Drosophila melanogaster: one gene and its partner. The protein of the gene in region 2 purifies or fractionates together with the protein of the main gene of each other region. This does not show direct contact. Each region holds a gene or a part of one and is shown on either strand. Other genes may lie near its edges.

Region 1 (7,978 bases), 390 kb from region 2:
ACGTCGTCGCTGCCATCTCTGTAGTCGCGATGCGAGTGGTGTCCATACTGGCGCCCGTGGCCATGGTGGTAGTCCCGATGGTGCTGTTGCTGCTGGTGGTGGTGCTGTTGATGCTGCTGGTGGTGCTGCTGATGCTGGTGATGGTTTTGGTGGCCGGCATGGTGCACCTGATTCTGGTAATGGCTCTTGCCCGCTCCAGATCCTGAACCCACACCCGCTCCCGATCCTCCGCCGGCGCCGCTGCCAACTGTGCCGTCCAGCGTGGGAAATTCGTACTGGAACTGTGGACTCTGATAATGGGGGACCACCTGCTGTTGCTGGCGTCCATAGTTCTGACCGCCCGAGCCCCGCTCGTGTCCTGTGGTAATTGCAGACCATGTCTTGGGTGAGTTGACTGAGTGTCCGCCCGATCCTGACCCTGATCCACCTCCTACTCCTGACGATCCGCCGCCGCCCGACCCTCCTTGTCCGCCTCCGCCGGAACTGCCCACGGAGTTGTTGATTAATTTGAAGTTCTTGTTGCCGCTGCCTGAGCTGCCGGCGTTGTTGTTGCTGCTGCCGTTGTTGCTGTTGACAAACTTTCCGGCGTTAGGGCCGAGAGCGACGTTATTATTGTGCTGATGCTGGCTGTGAGTCAGCTGCTGGGATAGATGGCCACCAGCAGATGAAGACGCAGTTCCTCCGCCGCCTGATCCCGCTCCGCCGCTCGTTCCTGAACTTCCGCTGTGGGCAGTGGTGTTGTTGTGGCTAGTGTTGGTTCCTGCCGCGCCAGATCCCGCTGCTCCGCCTGCGCCCGCCCCACCAGATGTGGCTCCTAAAATGGAAAATTCACCCAGTTAAAGGTACATCTTAGTACACACGCTTTCAATAAGATAAAATCGTAGAACACCCACCTTCGACTGAGACTAAGAGATTGTTGTTGCTGCTGGTGTGGGTCTCGGCCTTCAGGGATGGCAAATTGGCTGGTGGTCGCCTAGCGGACGGCACTTTGCCCAAGATTTGCATTCCATGTTTACGTGGCACTTGATTCTTTTGTGCAGATGGTTCACTTGACTCGCCCTGCAAACAATAAGAACAAGTTGGCGATCAGATAGGTTTGGATCTATCAAGATCTAGATGTAGATCTAGATCTAGGTCTAGGGGCTCGCTACTTACGCGGCTATTCTTGTACATGCGATTTATATCTAACGCTGTGAATTTGGGCTTGGCATTTCGCTCTCCCCTACTTCCCCCCAGTGTACTCATGCTGCCAATAGATCCTCATTAGCGTTAGCTTCCTTCTCGCCACCGCCGCGCTCCTCGTCTTCCCGCTGCGCTGGAGGATGGGCTAGGATGTGGCTGTGGTTCTTGACGAGAATGAGTTTAAGGAGCTGGGATCGCTTTTGGGCCGAAGCTCCTTGTTTCAGTCTTTCTGGTGGGCTGCAAAATACAAAAGCGTAGATAGGCATTTAATTGAGTATAGGTGCAGGCGTAGCGAGGCGAGGCTAGTCAGTTGCAAGTGGGTGGTGCTCCCGACAAATTGTTTTCAACACGCTGGTTATTGTGTGTCCGGGAACTCCTCTATTTAGCCACCCCCAACCGATCCGCACCACTAACGCTTACAGAGGTGGATCTGTAGCGAAAATTGGTTCTTCTTAGAAAGATATTGCAAATAATTTGGAAAATAACCTCTTCAAACAATAATAGGTATGGGTTTCAACTAAACCGAGTTTTAGTAGAAATGCTTTTGATATTTCATTTCCACTGAAACTAAAGAAGTTTCTTGGTAGTTTTCCAACACATGCTGTTGCGAAATACGTTCAAGTTCTTAATGCTTCGTTAAAGTAACAACTAGAGTGTAATTCCATTCGACTACTACCATTCGAAACTGTTTGTAGAATCATTTGGTATTTTGTTGATATTGCGTTTATTACGAAAACGTTTGGGGCAACTATTTCCCAGTTTCGCTCCCCCCTTTGATCCGACACTGAATGCAGGCAATGTTTGGTGCGAGCAGGACAGCCAGTGCCTCGCAGCACACGCAACTGAGAGGCTGCCTTGGGCGGGTGACAGCGGAAGCGGGACAGCTAGATAGATTTACCCACACACACACACCAGCGCCAGCAGCGGCAGAAGCGGCAACGCATTGAAAGAATTTTTTGCGGTGGCGTCTTGTAATAATTGCGGCAGGGGGCGTGAAGGGGCGGCCGAACAATGGCTGACAACTACAGCAACAATAGAAAAAACGGGGCCAGTAAAATCCTCGCAACAAGAGCGACAACAACAAAGGCCGGCATTTAAAATGTAACCAATTTGACAGATGCAAGTGGGGGGAGTACAAGACAATCTAAACGCTTGGCAACAATTCTATGTCTCCTTTTTGTAATAACAACCATTCACAAGCACAACGCACACTAACACCACGCAGGCACAGGCGCACACATCACGCACACACACACACTTACGTTCGCAGAAACCGAGAGGATTTGATAGTTATTATTTAATCGACGAGTGCAATTTTTTTTTTTGACCACCTTTTGTTTTACAGCCGTATCCTTTTATTAATTTTGCATGGCACAGTGGCTGGCAAAGGCAAACAAAGAGGAGAGACGAGTAAAATATACCGTTTAAACAGCACGCACGCACACAGCAATACACTCGGGGAGTTTCGTTTGTTGGGCAGCGATGATAAACTGAATGGAAAACGCTTGAATTTGTTTACTTCGAATGTTTCGCGGTCTGCTGGCACACTTGGCCGCCTGTATGTTGGTTATTTAACTGTTAACTTCGCGGAAATTGATATCTTTTGATTCTGCTTTTCACCGTCCAACATAAAGTTTGCCGCTAATTCTTCTTCCTCGAGTTCTTCCTCTACCACTTCTCACTTTTCGAATGTATTGCGTGCGTGAGTGGTGTGGAGCGCGGCGTTGCCACCTGGTCCGTTGGGATCCAGCCAGACCGCCGAGTGAAACTAATTCCGGGGGTGGCAGTCGCCTGGCAATTATTAAACAATTAGAGAGCGTGCTATTTAGCGATTAAACGGAAATTAACACGGACTCTATGCATCGATGCCGACAAAAAGAGAAAACGGACCACGATGACCTGCCGACGACAAATGCAACGCTGTTTGCGATATAGAGCGGGACAACATGACTAGCTGAACTTCCCTCCCACTCCCACACGTCGAATTTGACAGAACCGACAAAAATATTTCTTTGATACAATGCGTATTTTCTACAAACAAAATCACAGATTTACAAACCCGCTGTGCAATTAAACATAATTTAGCAAACAAATCTCGGTTCCGGCCTACTTCCAGAGCGAGAGCATGAGAGACCATAGAGCTTACCCTTTCGCACGCAGAGCACACACCGCAAACACAGTTCGTTGCTCCTTGGCTTCTTTCTTTCCTTCGCCTTTTTTTTGCACTCTTTCTGGCGCTTACTCAGCGCCCGTTTCGCCGCTTGTTAAAACACGGGACGAAAACAAAAGAGAGCGCAACCAAGACGAGACGTGCCGCTGCTGCAGTTGTTGTTGTTAGTCGCCTTTGTTCGCCAGAATCTTCGATTTGGTTGAATTTCGATTTCGATTTGGTTGCGATTTTCGCTATGTTGCGCTGGCTTTGTCAGCGCTCTCGCTCCCACTCACTTGCACTGCGCTCTCCCACTCTCCGCTCACTCGCGCCGTCCCTCTCGCGCGCTGTCGCTTTTTTGCAAGTGTAGGTGGAAAATGGTATCGGGTGAGGAGGCTTCGAGTAAACCCGTTTGAATTCGCTTTTTCCACGGGTTTTTGCCTTTCCTTCGCTAGGTTTTAGCTCTGCACACACACTACACACGCACACGAGTTGCGTTTCTTATTTGTTTTGATTATTTGCGTTGCGTTCTTTTCACGTAATACGTAATTGTCCATTAGTTTTAAATCGTATGTATTATTTTTTTGCCATTTTACGGCAAGCGTTGCCAGAGTTGTGTGGGTCGATTGGCGTGCTGCCTGACCGTCCGCAGAATGCCATCGTTTTGATGTGTATCCAGCGATATATTAAGTTTCATATTTTCGATTTTTAATTAATGGATAATCGTTTACAGCGTATTTTGCAGACAATTAAAAACGTAGACCATAAATTGTAAGAGAAATTAAAGAGAAATACTCAACGATCAGGGTGGCCACCCCGCAAAAAACTCCTGAGATGAAGTTTTGCCATTCACAATTGGATTCTGTTATCGATTCACGATAGGTGAATTATGTTGTTTACAACGAAAAACTGTTTAAATTTTTTATTTATTTGACTTTGCGTTGTGGTTCTGTTCGCGCGAAATGATTTGTCGCCTTTGCCTGCGATGTCTTAGTCCCGGAAGCGCTGTCTTCCTCTTTGAGACGGACGATACGCTTGCGGAGACGCGCCTGGTCAAGATGATTGCGAAGTTTCTGCAGCTGGAGGTGAGTGTATCTGGCAAATACCAATGGTATCAAAACAATTCCAATAAGCCATCCCATGCAGATCCTACCAGACGACGGCATCTCGACCAGCGTCTGTACCGAGTGCTGTGAGCATCTGGAGGACTTCAATGGCTTCTGGCAGCTGGTGGAGCAGAAGCAGTGCTCACTCAAGAAGGAGTTCCTTACCGTGGACGTCGACTGTGCGGCCATGAAGTGGACGGGCGGTGTGGACGTGGACGTCAACATCGACGAACTGCCGCTGGCGGCTGGCGACATGGACGAGAAACCGTTGGACCTGCACAACCTTAGTCTGCTGGGAAGCGTGCTGGACGTGAATGTGGACAGTGTGGAAGTCAGGGAACCGATCAAGGAGCAGCTGCCCTGCGAGGAGGAGGAGGACGAGAAGCCCTGCCTGCAAGCTAGTGATAGCGAACCGGAGGTGACCGAGGGGCAGCCGGAATCTGAATCTGACTCCTCAGATGGTTATTATCTTAATGTTTCCCAAGGATTAGCCGTAACTAAGTTCCTGTTCCATTGCAGATGAACCCCTGGTCCGTCTGAAATCGAAAATGAAGCCCAAGCGCAAAACCTCGGCACGTTCCTCCAAGGATCAGGGTCCGATATCGCTGCAGCAGGAGCTTGCAGATCTGCTCGACGATGGTGGCAAGCGTCGGCGCAGGAAGGCACCTGACCAGCGAACAACCACCGAGTCGCAGGAGTCCGAGCTACAGGCCGTTCTCGAGCGCAAGCCCAAGGGCTGCTCCCGTGCTCAGCTGGCCAAGAGCTACGAGAAGGCCATTGCTAGCTACATGAGTGCAAGCTGCGACCTGTGCGAATTTAGTGCTCCCTACCTATCCGAATTGAAGACCCACTTCCTGGAGGTGCACCAGCGCGAGTACTACATCAAGTGCTGCGGCAAAGTCTTTACACGCGCTTCCAAGCTGATGGACCACATCCGCAAACATATCAACCCCAAGCTATTTACGTGAGTTTGAAGCCCGAGGGTTCTGTCTGTTGCTACATAGACTTTAAAATCCCATAGCTGCACCATTTGCAAGAAGTCGCTCAACTCGCAGGACTACTTGGCCACTCATATCGAGACGGTGCACAACAAGGTGGCTCAAATCGGCAAGGTGCTCAAGTTCCCGTGCCCCAAGTGCGAACGCACCTTCAGCAGCGAGCGCCGTATGGCCAATCATCTGGCCAAGCACGACACCGATCAACTGGAGCACACCTGCGAGATCTGCTGCAAAAGGTGAGAATAGAGCAGGGTCTCTGATCGAATTGGAATTCTTGCCCCATATTTGAATTAGTAATCTTTATTCATTCCACACGCAAATGAGAGGGATAGCTGTCTACTTATTCCGCACTCACACTGTTTCGAGAATAGCAAGAAAGAAATAATTTTTTTAAGATAAAAAAACTGTCTTGCAAGTTGAGTATTTGATATGAAATTATCTGTTACAGCTTTGCCAATGTACACCGCCTGCGAAGGCACATCCAATCCATCCACGAAGACCTGCATCGTCACGTTTGCGACATTTGCGGGAAGAAGTTCAAGTTCAAGCCCTCCTTCGAGCGCCATTTGCTGGAGCACCAGGGCGTCGTGGCCCCGGCTGTGGAGTGCCCCATCTGCCGTGTTTGGCTGAAGAACGAGCACAGCTTGCGCCTGCACCGCTTCACACACGACAGCACGGACACCGTGTGTCCGCATTGTGGCAAGACCTGCACATCGCGCACAGCGCTCCGCGGTCACGTCAAATATGCCCACAAGCTGACCACCAATCTGCAGTGCACGTTCTGCGAGAAAACCTTCAAGCAGCAGCGCAACCTGGACGAGCACATGGCCATCCACACGGGCCTGCAGCTGTACAACTGTCCGCATTGCCCCAAGGAGTGCCGTTCCCGCTCCAATATGTATGTCCACATTAAGCAGCGTCACGCGGACGAGTGGCTGCGCGCCAAGATGGCACGCTCGCACAATCCGCAGTTCAAACCGGCCGACGTTTAAACCTGACCCCTCACAATTGTGTTTAATCATTATACGTATAATTAAACTGTACTTCACTGGTTTCATTCTTATTAGAGGTATTTGTAGCGGACAATGCTTGTTAGAGGTAGATTATAAGATCTTTATTGAATCACATAGAAAAAAAATATGTAATTTTATGTGGAGCACAGATGATTTTTTGTTGTATGTATGATCCGTTGATCCGTTCATAAAGACGGATAACATCTCCAGGTGTCCATTCGATCAGTTTTGCAGAAGTCTGTCGAGCGAGGATGCGAGTTCTTTGGATATGGCGTCTGGAAACTGGATGGAGAACCTGACGACGATGGAGCCGCGACGGGAATTATTAATGGAATCGGGCAATCCGTAGCCCAGAATGCGGCGCACGGATTTCGGACTGATTACCTCGCCCACGTCGGTCTTGAGTTCCATCGGCCTGCCAAGAAGCGTCGGCACCATCACGTGTAAACCGCACAGAGCATCCTTCAGCGAGATTTCGGCTGTGTACAGCAGATTGTTGCCATCGCGGCGAAAGATTGGGTGTGGCTTGTCCCGGATTATAAACACGACGTTGGCGGGCTCAAGGTTGGGCAGTTGAATACCCTCATTGGGAAAGCAGATCTTGGTGCCAGCCTTACAGCCCGGAGGTATCTTGACAGTGAGAATTCTGTCATATTGTACCCCATCAACGCCGTTCCTACCCGAAGCCCGGGAGATCTTCATGCGCCTGTTGCACCCGTTGGCAATGTCCTCCAGAGCAACGTATATTACATGTTCGATGCTTGACTGGGGTGACTGTTGTTCGCAACGACGTTTAGGCGCGCCCGCTCCTCCACCCAACAGGACGTCATCGTCGCTGTCAAAATCGTTTTCGATATCCTCGAAGAACGTAGAATATGATTCGCTGTTGTCGAAGAAACGTCCAAAGTTGGCCCGCGGGTTGTTCTGGCGACCACCGCCACTGCCACCGCCACTGCCACTGCCACTGCCACCACCACAGCTACCAAATGCCGTTCCATCGCCGAAACCGCTACCTTGATTCGCGGTATTGCGTCGGGTACCCTTGTCATTGCGGGAGTCGTACGATCCGCGCTTCTTTTTGTCTGATAGGACTTCATATGCCTTGGCCACCTGCTTAAAGATCTCCTCCGCCTGAGGGCTCTTGTTTTTGTCCGGATGGTAGCGCAGCGCTTGCTTATGATATGCCTTGCGGATTTCGCCATCATTGGCAGTGCGCTGGATGCCCAGTATCTTGTAGTAGTCTTTAGGCATGGTTTTTTACTCCAAATGTTTTACGTACACAGACGAACAAGTGCAACTCCTTCGAAAATTTAATCGAATTGTAAAAGGTATTGTTCCAATCAGAATGTTGCTTAATTTGAACAACACTGCTACGATTACTATATGCTTACTATTTATTTATGCTTCGATTTAGATTTTATAGCCTAACGCCCTTTCTTTTAGTTTTTCTATTGGTCTGATTTTGGTTAACTTATACAACAATATTTTCGCTGCATAACTTTAAAAAGGGAGTGGGACATAACAAGTTTT
Region 2 (8,031 bases):
GCCGTGTAGTCCTGATCCAGAGCGTTCGTCTTGGTCTTGGCAACGCGCGACGGCATCTGCCTGGGCATCGGCTGATCCTCGAACAGGATCGGATTTCTCGAATGCTTGCCGCCCTGGAAGCGAGGCAGGCTCTGATTCTTGTACTTATTGGTCAGCGGACGGCGCGTATTGATGTGAATCACCTGGCGACCGTTCTCGTCCAGACTGACGGCCACACGTTTCAGCGTCTTGTTGCCACAATTGGGGCAAAACACCTTGGTCATGATGCTGGTGGTCTTGTAGCACGCGTAGCAGCGGAGTATATATGTGCGCAACTGCTTGATGATCCGGCCATTGAGGGCGGCCAGGTGGAGATTTAGCTGCTTGAGCACGTTCTGCAGCGCATAATCGGTGGTCATGCAGGCGACGGGCGGCACTTCATCCGTTTCCACTTTGCCCTCGAGCGCTTTCTTGGCCTTCTTGATGTTTGAATGCGTGATCCAGCCATCGTCACCCACATCCTCGTCGAGATTTTGGCTCTGTTTGGCTTCTTGTGGCTCGGATACCTCCTCATCTACTTCGGCCGGCTGGGAAACGAGCAGTTCCGAGAGCTCTTTCTCTTCCTCGGCACTGGGTGCGCATTTGAGCTGCTCGAACAGCTTGTCCAGCTCCTCCTGACTGGGCTCCTGGTCTTGGTCCTCCTCCTTTTCGATGGTCTCGCTGGCAAATGGTTCCTTGCCGGCCAATTGGGCTTCGATGGCGGCTTTAACAGTGTCTGGGGATTCATTTGCCTCCTGCTCATCGCCTTCAGCATCGTCCTCTTCCTGGGAGTAATCATCTTCCTCCTCGGAATCCTCCTCCTCCTCCTCTTCGCCCTCGGGCATGTACCAACCGACCAGTCTCTTGTTATTAGCATCCTGCATCTCCTCGGGTTTATCCTTGGACGCAATGGTCTGCGCCATCACAGGCTCCTGGCGCAGGTGATCAGTGCCCACGTTGTCTGCTTCCAGTTCGTAGGTGAGCGAGATCACTTTCAGATCGATCCCCGAGAGACTCGCGTAGTCACCCGTTTTCTTGGCGAACTCCACGCAGTGTTTAATGCTCTCCGGACGAGGCTCGCGCACCTGGAGGTCGAAGGGCAGAACGCAGAGGCGGCGAATCTGGCGCTTGTTGCGCACTTCGGCCACCACATCCGGCACGGTGAGCACCTGCTCCGCGTATTCCTGTAGGGGATTAGTGGCGGCTTTAGATGGCTCGAATGGGCAAATTGTGCGTGACTTACATTCAGGGGCACGGCGTTTATAAAGGCTGTGGTGTCCGCCACAAGGAACTTGATCTTTTCGCTCGTTTCGGCCATTTTCAGTGCTAATTTTCACATGAAAAACAAAGGACGGCAAAAAATAACAATTTCTGCACGTGTCGCGATTAGTGTGGCTGTAGTGAGCTGTGACCGTTACGTTAGGGTATGCTAAAAATACCAAAAAGTGTTTATGAATTTGTGATTTTAATATTAGTTAATTAAATTTTACATTTTTAAGAGTTAGGCAAAGCTAAATGAATGCGTTCCCTAAAATTTTATTGCTAGCTCTCAATAAAATTGTTAAAATTAATTCATGTTAAAATATATTTCTATGAGATATTATATTATTATCACAGGGAGATATCGGTCCTGACTACTTAGACTTTCGGCCGGACTGTTGGAAAATTACCAAATTTACTTAACAAACTACAAAAAACATCAGTTAAACAAAATATCACTTGACTTAACTTATATTAACATATTTACAGATATGAAAAAATGTAGTAAAATGCCTGGTCTGAGAAATCTATTAATTTGCTGCAGATTTTCAAAAAGCTCATTAGAAGGTCTGCCAGTTTGATCTTCTTGTTTATTTTTTTTTTAACATATTTTCGTATTATCAATACAACTTCTACGAATCAATCACTTAAGCAAGCTATCTTTGCTAATTTTTCAATTTGTAGGCTTGTAAGTGCATTGGATTACATTCAAATTATTTTATTAATTGGCAATGGAATATTCTAGGGTGCTTGCGATATATGGATGCACACTCGCAGCACGGTCACACTGCCCGGCCCATTTAGCTGACAGTTCCATCTCTAGTTTTCAAGCCAAATATGGCGAAGTTTTCATTATCAATTCGTTCAGATAGCAAACTGAATTAGTGAAAGGTGGACGATTTTAAACGGAACGGAGCCAATCCGCCGGATTTTGTGAAAGCCCAACCGAGCGGTACAAGTGTGTTATTCGCTAATAGGCTAATCAATCCAGTGGACACGGTATGTGGGGCCAATGGCAAACCGCCGCCGCAGTGGCTCCCACTGCCGCTCTACCTCCGCAACCGTCGGTTCCGCCACCGTTGCCGGACGCCCCGCCCCCTCCGCCTCCATCGGACGCGACCGCCGGAGCCGGAGCATCAAGCGGTGCCTCTGCACCCATAGTCACGACTGCAGCCGCAGTCACAACGGCCCCTGGATTCAACCCCTATAGCAGCGGCCAGGCGACGGGGGCTGGCAACCCCTATCAACAGTATACGGCCGCCCAGTACGCGGCCATGACACCCGAACAGCAGTACGCACTGCAGCACCACTGGCAACAGTGGCAGACATACCAGGAGGAGTACGCCAAGTGGCATGCCCAGTACGGTGAGCAGGTGGGTCAAATCAATTAGTTATCGACGATCATATTGCTATAGTAGTCTTCCAAATCTTTAGTATAAGCGTGAAATGGCCGCAGCCGCGGCCACAACTACCGCAGTTCAAGGCGTGCCCGCGCCTGTGGTAGCGACTCCTGCAGCAGCACCCGTCCCTGTGGTCGCTCCTCCCGGGCCACAGGCCTATCCTGTCGCACATAACTATTACCAAGGTGTCAGCGCCTCGCCGGCGCAGTCAACTACACCCGTAGCCGTCGCGGGAGCACCGCCACTGCCCGGTAAGATCATGGCCCAGCCGCAGATGTACAACCAGCCGCCGCCGCCACCACAAAAAGGCGGTTACAATCAGCATCCGAATGACATCCAAAGCATGTGGTCAGGACCACCGCCAATGCAACAGCCGCCGCCAAATAGATATGGTGGCGGTCAAATGAACCAGATGAACTACAACATTGCCGGGCAAGACAACCAGGGATTTCCGAATCTCCAGCAGCCGCCGCCAAGTTTGCAGAGACCAACACCGCAACAGCAGCAGCCGCATTTAAACCATATGGACCATGGCCAGTGGGGAAATAATCAACACGGTGTGGGCAATAATAATCGTCCTACCTGGGATACCAGTGGTCCGCCGCCTGATAATACCGGCCAACCCAATCGCTGGAATGGCCCGCCGCCGGCAAATGATGTCAACAATCGCTGGAATGGAACGTCATTTAACAATAACACCAATGATGGCAATCGCCGCTGGGATGGGACTTCAAATCAAGCGCCGTCTGGCGGGGATCAGCAACTAAATCGTTGGATGAGCGAACCACCGCCAAGCCTTCCGAATCCCAATCAGCAGTATCAAAACCAGAATTCCTGGATGAGCGGACCACCACCGAGTATAAGTGATCCGCCACAGGACCATCAGCAGCAAAACAATAGCAGCCAGAATGCCCGCTCGAGTCGCTGGCAAGGAATCAATTCCGACATCGATACACCGCCAATGAGGACTAACAACAAGCCAAATAGCATCCAGAATAGCCGCAATAGTTGGGGTGATGGAGGTGGAGATGGAAACCAAAGCAAGAACCCATTCATTAAGAATCCACAGTCCGATTTTGGCAATTATGGCAACAGTTACAATAGCCAAGATCAAGGTAGTGCAGGAGGAGGCAACTTTGGCGGCTTTGGAGATGATAGTGGAGGCAAGCAAAGCCAGGACAGTTTTGCTGGACGTGGTGGAGGACCCGGCAATAATATTAATAATAACTTTAGTAACAATCGCCGCCAGAACAATCGACGGGATAACAATCGTAACCAGGGATTTTCCGATGAGAGAGGCGGTGGGGATTCTGGTCCAGGCGGCTACAATCCAAATCGTGGCAATTACAATCAGCGCAACAGCTTCAATCAGTCGAATGCGCCCTACAAGCAGTCGCAGCAGAACCGCAATCAACAGCAACCACCCGATTTGGACGAGGCCAGTTTCGATCTGCTGTTCGATCAGTGGGAGCAACAGTTCGAAGAATGGAAGCTGGCCAATGCCAACCATCCGGATCGTGACGAGTATCGACGCTACGAGGAGGAGTTCGAGAAGCAGCGCCGTCGCATCGCCGAGAGAAGGGAGCAGATGCGCCGACGTCGCCAACTGCAGATGGGTGGTTCGGCAGGAGGCTCGACCACAGACATAAGGAAGGAAGCAGCCGCAGGTGCATCCACGACCGCGGAGCAGAAGCCAAATAAGGATCCCTTCGAAGGCCAGGGCCGTTTTGCCGATCAGGGTGACCAGGATCACGGATCGGGTCCCAACTTCGGAAACGGGAACAGACAGTCCGGAAATGCTGGTCATTTTGGAAAAGAGAATCGCCCCTTCGAAAGCGCCGGAGTACCTGCATTCAGAGGCAACCAAGGACCGCCACCGGGGATGCACAACCAGTACCAAACCGCCCAGGAAGCCATCCAGCAGATATTGGACGAACAGCCAGATGAATCCAACCAGGAAATTCCAACCAAGCCGGCGGCATCAAATGAAAATTCATCTGATGTAAAGAAAGCAAAAACGACAGCTTCCCCAGTGGCTCCACCGATTGCACCCGTGGTGCCGCCCGAAGTTAAAGCTCCAGCTGCACCAGTAGTGCCAGATCCGACAGTGGTTCCGCCCACGCAGCCTCCTCCGGTTTCCACAAATTATGGCAAGCGCCGTCAAAGAGCTGCTCCCTCACAAATACCCGCTAAGCAAGTCAAGGAGGAGGAGCCCATATTCACCATTTCCCTGGACGACGACGACGACGATGATGAGGAGAAAGAGGTGGTACAGGACGCACCTAACACGCCCATGGGCAGCATTTTCAAGAAGAACGATGGCATACCCGGTCTGGATTTGGTGGACGATGGCAGTAACAAGAATAATTCGTCCTCAGTCTTCAATGTGGTGCTCAAGGATTCCAGCGAAAAGAAAGCGGCTGATGAAACTGAAAAACAGCCAGGCGACGTGTCCGCCGACAAGAAGGGCGACGAATCTCTAAGCAATGCCCTCAAGGATCCAAATTTCATTAACAATCTCTCCCAGGCGGTGGCCAATGTACAGGAACGCGAGCAGCGCGATCGTCACGAGCAACGCGATGATCAGGAATCGGGTACGGATGGACGTCCATTGTCCTTCGCCGAGTGGCAGCGCAAGAAGAACAGCGGCAACGAAAACAAGTCGCAGGATGCCGGCGACTCGGTGAGCACCAATAACGGTGAGAAACCGGACAATAATGGCCCACCTGGTGGCTTTGGTCCCGGAAACGGACCAGGCGGAGGTCCAGGTTCTGGTCCAGGTCAAAACGATGGATCACGTTTCGATGTCTTTGGACCAAATCAAGTGTCTGGAAATAATTTCATTGACTTAGATAACAATGGTCCACCTGGCTTTGGACCACCGGGCAGGAACTTTGGACCCAACGGTCCAGGACCGCGTGGAAACTTTGGACCCAACTTCGGGCACAACTTTGGACCTAGAGGTCCGGGCGGGCCGTTCATTAGACCAAATGGACCGTTACCGGGTCCGGGTCCGAATTTCGGACCACACTTCAGACCAAATGGCCCCAACTTTGGACCAAACTTTGGGCCCAATTTCGGACCGCGTCCGGGTTCCCGCAACTTCGGGCCTCGCGGACCCGATGGTCCTTTCGGTCCGGGACGTGATGACTTTGGCGGTCCGCCGTTTGGCGGTCCACGACCCCACATGGGACCCAATGGACCAGGTCACAATATGCGCGGCTTTAACGGTGGACCAATCAGTGATAATCCCTTCCGACGCCAAGGCGGCCCACCGGGTCCGGGCTTTGGCAACGATGATCTGGGCGCAGGACCACCGAGAGGACCCAGAAACTTTGGCAACCGCTTTGGAAATCCAGGCGGAGGTGGTGGTGGAGGAGGAGGAGGAGGAAACAACAATCGGAAGAACTGGAATGACGGGTATGTGTCTTCAATCTGTTTTTAACTTTTTCGACTTGATTGAATATCTTTTCACTACGTATACAATAATATCGAAATGTTATATCTTGACAAAAAATTGTGGAACGGGGAAAGATGATTCTTTCCCCTCCCACTATGCTCTGCCAAATTCCAATATCAATTGTCTGATTGTCTGAGGAAGATATGGGAACGTTATCTTCTCAAGAGCACTTGCTATTAGTATTCATTTGGATGGTACAATCTGGAAATATGTTTGTTTTGGGGAAATTCAAGTAGGGCTGCATGCATATCTTTGAAACGTTAAAAAAAAACAACCTTAAACAACATTATCCATTCAGTAAATTCGTTGATTTTGTATTAAGTACAGATGCTATTTGCACTTATAGTTACTGTTTTAAGTGTTTTTATTATGAATAATCAGTCCATTATTATGCCTAATCAATCCATGCGTTGGGGGTTAACCCAAACCCAAAACATTATCAAAAACCTGTGGGCCGTCGAATGATTGTTTGTCCGAATGTACGCAGTACTATCGCCTATCGATGGGCTAACAAATATCTGAAATATCTGATGCAACGTTTTCGAATAAGTAGACAATCTGCTTCCTATGCTTATTTATTCAGCTCTATTCACATTACGCATATCCGTGGGATGCCTTCTCAAACGGCCTGATGTTCAGATAGCCTATAGATATATATATATATATATATATATATATATATCGTTCTCGTTGGGCACTATTCCGCTCGATCCCCCCTCTTACCCACATTTTTGTAACCCTTCACTTTCTCTATCTGTATCTGTATTGATATCATCAAATTTAATTTAGTTAACTTGTCCAGGCCATTTTCTAGTTATCTTTAATGCTGGAATTTCGATTCCAACCCCGTTTTTTTCTTCTTCTCTTCTACTTTTATGCAATACTGATATATAAATACTGAATATAAAAATATAATTAAAACAATCTTACAAACGAACGATAACCAAATCGAATACGAAAACCAACACGCAAATGAATATCTAAACGGTGGTATTGATTGATTGTTGGCGATGTTCCCGATACCTATGCATATATGCATATATCCACCAATCTGTGTCTGATCCATTGTCTGTGCAGCAAGAGAAGGGGGCGGTAGGAAGCTCCAGCAACGGCAGCAGCAGCGCAGGACCTGATCTTTGATCTCTGAACTCTGAACTCTGAACTCTGAACTCTGAACTCTGAACTCTGAACTCTGAACTCTGAACACTCGAATTCGGGATCTGATTAGGCGACAGAGGACAGACTTTGTTTTGGGGGGCGGCTATCCGAGGGAGGGCAGATCGTGAAAACTCCTCGAAAATAAACATACTTAAATATATATAACTAGCTATATATACATGCAGCGTACAGAAGTCAGAGAAAGATCTATAATATTAAGATTATCACGCATACGCATCTGCCACATTCGCAGAAAACGAATAAAAGAGTATAAAAAAAATTAAAAAAAAAAAAAAACGTCATGTATGGATCTAATTTTGTTGCTTCCTTGGTATAAACTATTTTTACTTTCTTCTGCCCTGCAATATCACTTAGAAATAGACCAAGCTCTCACCTAATTATTATATATTATTTGTTCGTTTCAAATCGACGCAGTTATATAAGTAACTTCTTTGCTTTGCAAACAGAAATCTCTCGATTCGAGTACTATGTAATAATTTTATAGCGCGAAATTATTTAAGTCGAATTGTTACAATATATACTATGGAATTTAATATCAATAAAGGAAGACAAAACACAACGTTCATGGGGGAGATCCTTTTTCAATTTCGTTCTTTGATCAACTTGTCGTCCGTCTGCAAATGAATCTTTCAATATCATTCATAAAATATAATTATACATCCGATCGCTAAGCATTGGCTCTGGTTAATCTTTAAACATAGTTAATATATCCAA

The links. The genes of interacting proteins can lie anywhere in the genome.
Region 1: the proteins of ZAP3 (region 2) and nocte purify together in Drosophila melanogaster (affinity purification with mass spectrometry, with the first as the bait; one large-scale study listed by BioGRID). This does not show direct contact.

The regions. Positions count from the first base shown.
Region 1 is NC_004354.4:10,470,725-10,478,702, forward strand, and holds the start of nocte (no circadian temperature entrainment), read right to left. Parts: upstream 3,952-7,978; 5' UTR 3,329-3,951; exon of another isoform or gene 3,214-3,328; intron 2,864-3,213; exon of another isoform or gene 2,445-2,863; intron 1,420-2,444; 5' UTR 1,246-1,419; coding exon 1,156-1,245; intron 1,060-1,155; coding exon 894-1,059; intron 815-893; coding exon 1-814. Other genes in the region: CG2889 (uncharacterized protein), read left to right, coding at 4,294-4,416, 4,478-4,898, 4,957-5,401, 5,459-5,671, 5,884-6,427; CG2887 (uncharacterized protein), read right to left, coding at 6,671-7,699.
Region 2 is NC_004354.4:10,076,553-10,084,583, reverse strand, and holds the start of ZAP3 (ZAP3), read left to right. Parts: upstream 1-2,091; 5' UTR 2,092-2,279; coding exon 2,280-2,651; intron 2,652-2,712; coding exon 2,713-6,098; intron 6,099-7,215; coding exon of another isoform or gene 7,216-7,234; exon of another isoform or gene 7,235-7,578; intron 7,579-8,031. Other genes in the region: CG2972 (uncharacterized protein), read right to left, coding at 1-1,202, 1,262-1,336.